Linked DNA regions of Zea mays. The protein of the gene in region 2 interacts with the protein of the main gene of each other region in a pairwise test. Links are inferred from orthologs where the notes say so. Each region holds a gene or a part of one and is shown on either strand. Other genes may lie near its edges.

Region 1 (3,955 bases), on a different chromosome or scaffold from region 2:
ATGTAAGTTCATGAATAGGATGATACTGGGTGACATTTTCACTCGTTTTTCTGTTTGGTACTGGTATGTGATACTAACAAGAGCTGATGATTTGTTAGAACATAAAAGGCAGTTAATCCAAGACATGTGAGGACGTTTAAGGTTTGGGGTTAACTCAGCGACTTCACTCTTATGTCTAATCCAATACATCAAGCCGATGATTCTCACACCTACCACACAAAACAATCACAAACCAACTGCAGCAACAGAACTTAGAAGATCCTGGTTACCTAGGAAGGTTTTCGACAAACCAACTCCAGTTACATGAAAACCTTCTTAGACTAAATTATTGTACAACAAAACGTCAGATTAGCCTTTCTAGCTATGCTGCCGACGCGTTAAGTACCACTGGTGAGGATATGATAGAGTGTGGCGGCCTCCCGAAGCCGCCGCAGGTTGGTCGAGTCAATTGGAATTGTGCCCAGTTGATAGTTTTAGTTGATCCAATTCTCATGTCTACAGAACATTCGACTAGCAAAAGACCCAGTGATCTATCAAAATATTTAATTGTTTTACTAAGTCATATGATCAATAACACTTACAAATACATCTGGATGTGAATAATTTGTAGGTATCATTGGAATTCAATCTTCAGTTTGACAAATAACGGCTTAGTAGCACCAGAAAAAGAGGGGGTTATGATTCCACAGTCTGTGTAGTGTGCTGGTTCAGGGACATGGAACCACCATGCGGTTGCTCTGGACAGTTTGAAGACTAAATATCTCCAGTCATGTATATAATAATCTTACAGTCACTGAGAGGAATCACCACATGGATTTTACATATCATAGTGATATTTGTCGTTCCGTTTATATATTTCATACAAATTTTTTACTTCCGTCGCAACGCACGGGCACTCAGCATTGTATTCACGCCGCCCGTTGCCAGGGCTCTAAGTCCATTGGAGGCTCGCAATTTATGTTTCGTGGCATCGCACGGGCACCTACCTAGTTAGAGAAATAAGTGACATGCTTCCTTCATATTTAAATAAATTAAATATTCTAGTTAATCAATATAAAGATCTTAAAGATAAATTCAATGAACGCTACAATAAATACTGGTGCATGGACGACGGTGTCACCGAAAACAGCCTGCTTGCGGTTTACTCTTCCGTTTACATTTAAACTCTCCTGTGCAGCAAGTGTCAAAGCGTGGGCTCGCGTACGTACGTGCACGTGATGTGCGCGTGCATCCGCGCGCTTGTCCGTTGCCGGCTCCGCTCCTCCTCAAATATTCTCGCCTGCCCTCCTCATTTCCTCCTCAACCATTTCATTCCTTCCTTCCTTCCCCTCGCTCGCCTTCCTGGCTTCTTCCTCCCCAGCACGCACACGCACACGCACACACCCAGCCTTTTGGCTGCCCTGCCGGCCGTCAGAGAGAGAAACCGAGCTCTAACTAACTGAAGTGGCGGCCACATAGCTAGCTACTCTTCTGATCCTGAGCGCGCACGCGCCATGGCTCAGGAGGACGTGCACCTGGACGACGCAGGCCTCGCGCTGGGCCTGTCCCTCGGCAGCGGCAGCGGCGGCGCCTCTGGTGCGGCGCGCCACGGTGGTATCAGCCGCCGGCTGAGCAGGGAGGTGCGGCTGCCGTCGCCGCACCCGCTGGAGCCGTCGCTGACGCTGAGCTTGCCGGACGAAGCGACCGCGACCGGGTCCGGCGGGGGCGGGGCCGCGCACAGCGTGTCGTCGCTGTCAGTGGCGGGCGTGAAGAGGGAGCGCGTGGATGACGCCGAGGGAGAGCGGGCGTCGTCTACGGCCGCGTTGCCGCGGGCCTGCGCCGGCGCCGAGGACGACGACGACGACGGGAGCACGCGGAAGAAGCTGAGGCTGACCAAGGAGCAGTCCGCGCTCCTGGAGGACCGCTTCAAGGAGCACAGCACCCTGAACCCGGTACGTAGTACTGTACCCCTGCGTGCGCGACACGTTGGGCGTGACTCACTGACTCCGATCGATTGATGACTGGTTGCTTCGCTGCTTGCTACGCACCAGCACCACAAAACGGCTGCGGCTCCGGCTGCACTTGCCTTGCCTAGTACTACACCTCGATGAATTACTAGTCGACACTGGCTGCGTACATGGCTGATTATTACTACAGCCACACACATATATATTGTACAGTATATGGTACTCGTTATCTCTTTCCCCCCCCCCCCCCCCCCCCCCCCACATATATTTGTATTTTAATATGCCTCAAAATAAGTACAGATATTATTCATCGTTTTTCCACCCCTATCGAGAACGAGAATTCGAGACGAGTTGTGTTTCTGAACGTCCTCCTTTTGCTTTCTGTTGGGGTGTCCTTTTGGCTTGGAGCGAGCAGAAGCAGAAAGTCGCGTTGGCGAAGCAACTGAAGCTGAGGCCACGGCAGGTGGAGGTGTGGTTCCAAAACAGGCGAGCAAGGTTAGTATTAACCAGGCGACACGCACGGACACCGGCCCATGGCATCCGAAGGCGTTGTTGTCGTTTTTTTTTCAATAATATTGCCATGCATGCACACGCAAATAATAAACCAGCAGCGAGCCCACAGAAGCAGATACGACATGCATGCTAATTGCTATGCTTGGGTTTTGTTTAGGACTAATTAAGCTCTGACGGCTGATCGACATATTAACGTGGTTTAGCCGCGCGCGCAGGACGAAGCTGAAGCAGACGGAGGTGGACTGCGAGCTGCTGAAGCGCTGCTGCGAGTCGCTGACGGAGGAGAACCGGCGGCTGCAGCGGGAGCTGCAGGAGCTCCGCGCGCTCAAGTTCGCCCCACACCCACAGGCGCCGCCGTCGTCCGCGACGCAGGCCGGCGCGGCGGCGGGCGTCGTTCCGGCGCCGCCGCCGCCGTTGTACATGCAGATGCAGATGCCGGCCGCCGCCACGCTGAGCCTGTGCCCGTCCTGCGACCGCCTGGCCGGGCCCGGCGCCGCCGCCAAGGCCGAGCCCAGGCCCAAGGCAGCCGCCACCCACCACTTCTTCAACCCCTTCACCCACTCCGCCGCCTGCTGATGATGAGGGCAGGGCAGCACGCAGCCACGCAACGCAGCGGCAGTAAACAGAGCACCGCCCCGTGCAGATAATACCACGTCTGTACGTGTCACAAGTAATTAACAAACGTATGGTCCTCCTCTCTATCTATTTTCTTGATCCGGAGGGCTAAGTTAGTTGTTTTCGTGTCGATCCCAAATGCATCAGCTAATCCATCAATCATAGGCTTGATAGAGTAGTCGAAAAAAATAGCCGTAGCTTTCCTAGCACTCCCTCCGCCCCCCCCCCCCCCCCCCCCCATCCATGTATATTTCTGTTGTAATTCTGTCCCTCTCTCGCGGTCTACTTGCTCCCTTTTCGATTGGAGTACGTAGCTCCTTTGCCTTTTTGTTTTTGGTTTTTTGTTTCTGTTTCTGTTTGAGACAGGTTAATATAATCGCCGTCGTCCGAGGGTGTAGTGTCAGGGATTGATATCCCTGTACACCGATTATTGGATTGAGATGCTTCTAGCTAGTCTTCGTACTGATAAGCGTGCGTGCGTACGTCAGAGCACCACAGTGCTGGAATGGATGATGACATGAGAGACAGGTAGAGAAGCCCAGCTGCGTGGCTCTTGGACCTTTCTGCAGGTGTACGTGGTGTGTACACACGCACACCCTTTTTTATAGTACATATATACGGCTCAATGATTGTGCGTGCCGGGGCTCTCGACTCTCCAAATTGCTGTCGCTTTTGCTCGTTTTAATTATTGGGAGCGCGAGCGCGGCAGCCCGCTCTTGTCTTGAGCATGCCCACCCCTCGCTGGCGCACAAGCCATCAGTTCTCTGCACCGTATATGCATGGCTGCCCGGCCACGGACGAACTTTCAGTTTCAGCAGTCTAATGATCCAGGTGATGGCCACCACCATCAGCTGTAATTCTGGAACATATATATGCAGTTT
Region 2 (3,971 bases):
ATTTTTAATTGCCGCCATTTTGTGGTACGGGCTCTGAACAAAACGAGTACTGTAATATGATCAGCAACAACGCTGATTAACAGGAACTGGAGCAGATAGATGGCTGTGATGAGGGTTGAATGTAAACCATTGCAAATGACATGTGCACAAGCCCATCTGCAAACGCACCTGGAAGAATGTACATGTGGAAGCAAGTATGCAACATATGCTGCACTTGCAGAGATTTACTGTGGCCTTTCTGGTTCTGATGTGGATTGAGAGGGATTGCCAGAGAATTGAACTAAAAATATCCCTAGCCAACCCATGCGCAATAAAAAAGGCCTTATAGATATTTTACAGGTTTAAGTCTGTTGGCAATTGGCATATGCACTAGAGAGGACGTCCAATCTATAGTTAGGTGAATGTCAATTTAACTGTTCACCTGATACGACTATCAGTGATGATCATGTATTCTTTTAAATGTGGGTGATGATTTATTTTGCCCATTTTTACCTGCTATGTGATTATGTCACAGAAGTGTGCATGACATTTACCATGCATTTCTTGTTAACAGTGCCAGAATGCATTCCTTTCATTAGCATTATGGACAAATAGCACTACTATACTAGAAACAAATATCTACTACTCCCAAAAAATAATTTCACCATTGTCACTGACTAAACCAAGATCTTTGAGTCTTCTTTCCTGGTAGTACTCAAGGCCATCTAATTCCTCCTCCCTCTGTTTAAAAATACCATCAATGTGCTGGAGTACTTTCTTTTCACCGGCCCTTACTCCAATTGCAATTGCAAGTCTTGGCTGCAAATTCTCTCTTCCCGATAGTTCTTCATCCTGAATATTCCACACATGTTTCATAAGATTAATTAATTAAGATAAAAAAGATGAAGGAAAAGAATAGCTACATCTAATCAATTGGTAAACCTCTTCTATTGTGGTATGATAGTCAGCAAGGGCTGATTTGCAGGCATCTCGCATGGCCTGACATATTGATTCCTCATTGTCAGGACTCAATGGCAGTTCAAGGTGGCCCCAAACTGAATTCCTAAAGAGTGCTTCCAAGAGAAATGCATCTGTTCCACCAATGCAAAGTAATCGCAGGTAAGGGAGCATTTGAGGGGGAAGGGGTTCGTTGAGGATTACATCAAAGTATGCGGTTTCCCCCAGTCCGTTTGCCTCTGCAATGTCAAGCTTGTCTCCATAAAATGGATCAGATTCAGAGATTTCCAGGGTCACAGTAAACGAATCCCTTGATGGATTTGATTCCACAAACCCATAGTCTAGTGCCAGTTCAGCATTACTCTTGTCCAGATCGTACTGGATATATATCTGTAAATGCAAATCTCAGTGCTCAGTTACAAATTGCACGTTTTAGCTTGTCACTTGAACTTGAAGCATCCACTATTGCATATAGATGCTGAAAGCCATGAAAACAGTGCACCTAGTGCAGAAAAATGGAACATCATCTGTACCTGCTGTCCAGATTTAACATTCACTGGTGTTCGCAAGGAGAACATGAGTTCCCTACCAAAAAGACCCTTTCCTTTGATCTCCCAACTTGACCCTTCTGAGGTGATATTAGGACTGTGATTAACCTGATTTGCGAAGCAAGCAAAATAATTTTAAAGAATGCATTTCCAACATTCAAATAATGCCTTATTTGAATCCTTTTGACATGGTACCTTAAGCATGGAAATTACAACTAGGACCATTTAACAACAATAAGAAGAATCGTAGCAAGTGGGATTAGAATCTGGAAAACGCCAATATGTATTGCATATTACCAAATCAGCAAATGGTATGAGAGCAAGCTTATCTCCGCGGAGCTCTGGAAACACCCTTGATCTGAGCATTCCAAATGCCCATAGGAAATCATCAAATGTTATGCTACCTGGGAACAGGTCCTTATTTGTGCTTATGATCTCTGCTTGAACACTATCAAATTCGCTTTGCACATACTCTTTCACGCCCACTGTGGTGCTTAGCAACTGTGTTCCTGCAAGTGACAGAAGTAGCATAAAAGTTACCGAGAGATCCCAGCACACAACAACTGGCAAGAACTTTTGCATTGCACACTGACCTTGTATCTCTAGGAGCTCTTCTTCAGACCTGCACTGGAGGCACCAAGCGCCACTCAAACATCAGAACGAGAATAGCGCAGAACTGCAGAAGCAGCCAAACACAAATGGAGCGATCGGCGTCCTCTCACTCACCAGAAGATGGTGGAGTCGGTCTGGCGCGGGAGGATGGCCAGGTAGGGCGCCCACGGCGAGTCCGCCCCGCGCGCGACCTCACTGAGGAGCAGCAGCGCGACGGCGACCCAGGGCCGGAGGCCCCCTCCGCCGCCGCAGGCGCGGCCGATGTCGGAGGCCGCGACGGCGTCGGCGTCCATCCAGAGCTTCTTAGGCACCTCCGCGACCACCTCCCCGCGGGGCAGATCGCGCGCCGCCACGAGGCCGAGACCCTCCGGCACGGCGGCTGGAATGGCTTTTCCTCCATCGCCCGCGCCATGAGAGGCGAGCCACCGGCGGAAGTCCTCCATCGCAGACACTGTGGCCGTTGTGCTGGCTGCCGCGCGGGGTCGTAGCTGCCGATTGTGGTGCCTCGATGGCTTCGTGGGGAGGCGGAGGCGAGGAGGCGGTCGGCGGGGGGAGTTGGGGAGACGCTGCAGGGGGAGGAGGTGGTGCTGGTAGAGCGTGGCCATGATTCCCTGCACTGCGCGGCCTGCGCCTGCGACGGAGGTAGTGGTTTGGACGACGACGGCCGTTGGTTTCCATATCCATAAGTAGTTATTATGGCGGGAGTGGATATGATCAGCGGTGAAATGCCGACCGAGTCCGTGCCAATAGGTGTTTTCCCTCTAGGAAACAGGAGGTTAATTATCCTGTAGATGTTCCACGAATTATCTCAAAAATGATTCACGACCGCTCATAAGTCATAGGCAGATGATGATCGGCTCCTTGTAGAACACATATGAGATGGGTCGTTCAACGAAATTACACAATTCAGATACTCCGTCCGATCAGAATTACAGCTTTTAGCTCAAGATGAACTTCTCCAACTGTAGTATATATTTTTAAGAAATTGTTGACGCTTTTTTGGAGCGCCAAACACTCAACAAGAACCGTGACGGTGCTCTCTGGTCAGACGCGGACGGTCCACGACGAGGGGCCGGACCGTCCGCGACCTGGCGCAGGGGCTAGGGCTTACTGCCTGACGGCCAGACGGTCCGGGCGGCGGAAGATCGCCGGCGACGCCTGGATCTCGCTCCCGGGAGAGACCCCGTCGGGGAGGAGAGATCCTAGGAGTTATCTAGGCTCGGGCAGGCCGACCTAGACTCCTCTAATCCACGTAGAGGCGAAGAATTTGGGGATCGGAAGGCTAAACTAGAACTAGACTATAACTACTCATAGGAAATAAATGCGAAATAGAAGTGTTTTGATTCGATTGCTGATTACAAATCGGCCGTATACCTCTCTATTTATACAGGAGGGGGCTGGACCCTTTACACAACTGATTTCCGAGCTAATTCTGCGAATCTAGCTAACAACCGTAGCACAAAACTCGGAACCCTAATCTGCTCTGCGCACGCGCGGACCGTCCGGCCCACAGGCGCGGACTGTCCGGCCTCAGGGCCGGACCGTCCGCACGCTCATTTTGGTGCCAAACATATGCCCCCTGCCTTTTGGTGGAGATGGGCAAACCAAAAGCATCTTAACTCGATGTGATCACATCGATTTTCTTAAGCATCTTGCCACATACTAGGATGGTACTGCTTGAGAAAACGTCCATTCAAAGCTTTGGGTAAATCCTTGCCTTGTAATATTTATAGTAAATAGGCGTTACCAAATATTACATGTTTACTTTATAAGGACCCTCCCAGCTTGGCGACCATTTTCCAAACTTCCGGTCTTTATTCCTTAGAGGCAGGATGGTCTTCCACACCAGGTCCCCTACTTAAAATGACTTTACTT

Evidence for each region. The genes of interacting proteins can lie anywhere in the genome.
Region 1: the proteins of [Fructose-bisphosphate aldolase]-lysine N-methyltransferase, chloroplastic-like (region 2) and Homeobox-leucine zipper protein HOX19 interact in binary tests that used the Arabidopsis thaliana proteins (3 or more experiments, as listed by UniProt). The link is inferred for Zea mays from reciprocal best matches to the Arabidopsis thaliana genes LSMT-L and HAT22.

Annotation. Positions count from the first base shown.
Region 1 is NC_050096.1:29,551,951-29,555,905, reverse strand, and holds Homeobox-leucine zipper protein HOX19, read left to right. Parts: upstream 1-1,311; 5' UTR 1,312-1,493; coding exon 1,494-1,931; intron 1,932-2,361; coding exon 2,362-2,441; intron 2,442-2,662; coding exon of another isoform or gene 2,663-2,674; coding exon 2,675-3,035; coding exon of another isoform or gene 3,036-3,106; 3' UTR 3,107-3,382; downstream 3,383-3,955.
Region 2 is NC_050102.1:115,535,664-115,539,634, forward strand, and holds [Fructose-bisphosphate aldolase]-lysine N-methyltransferase, chloroplastic-like, read right to left. Parts: upstream 2,746-3,971; 5' UTR 2,702-2,745; coding exon 2,211-2,701; intron 2,107-2,210; coding exon 2,078-2,106; intron 1,994-2,077; coding exon 1,782-1,993; intron 1,593-1,781; coding exon 1,470-1,592; intron 1,327-1,469; coding exon 922-1,326; intron 832-921; coding exon 622-831; 3' UTR 546-621; downstream 1-545. UniProt on the Arabidopsis thaliana protein: Protein-lysine methyltransferase methylating chloroplastic fructose 1,6-bisphosphate aldolases. Can also use with low efficiency gamma-tocopherol methyltransferase as substrate, but not a cytosolic aldolase.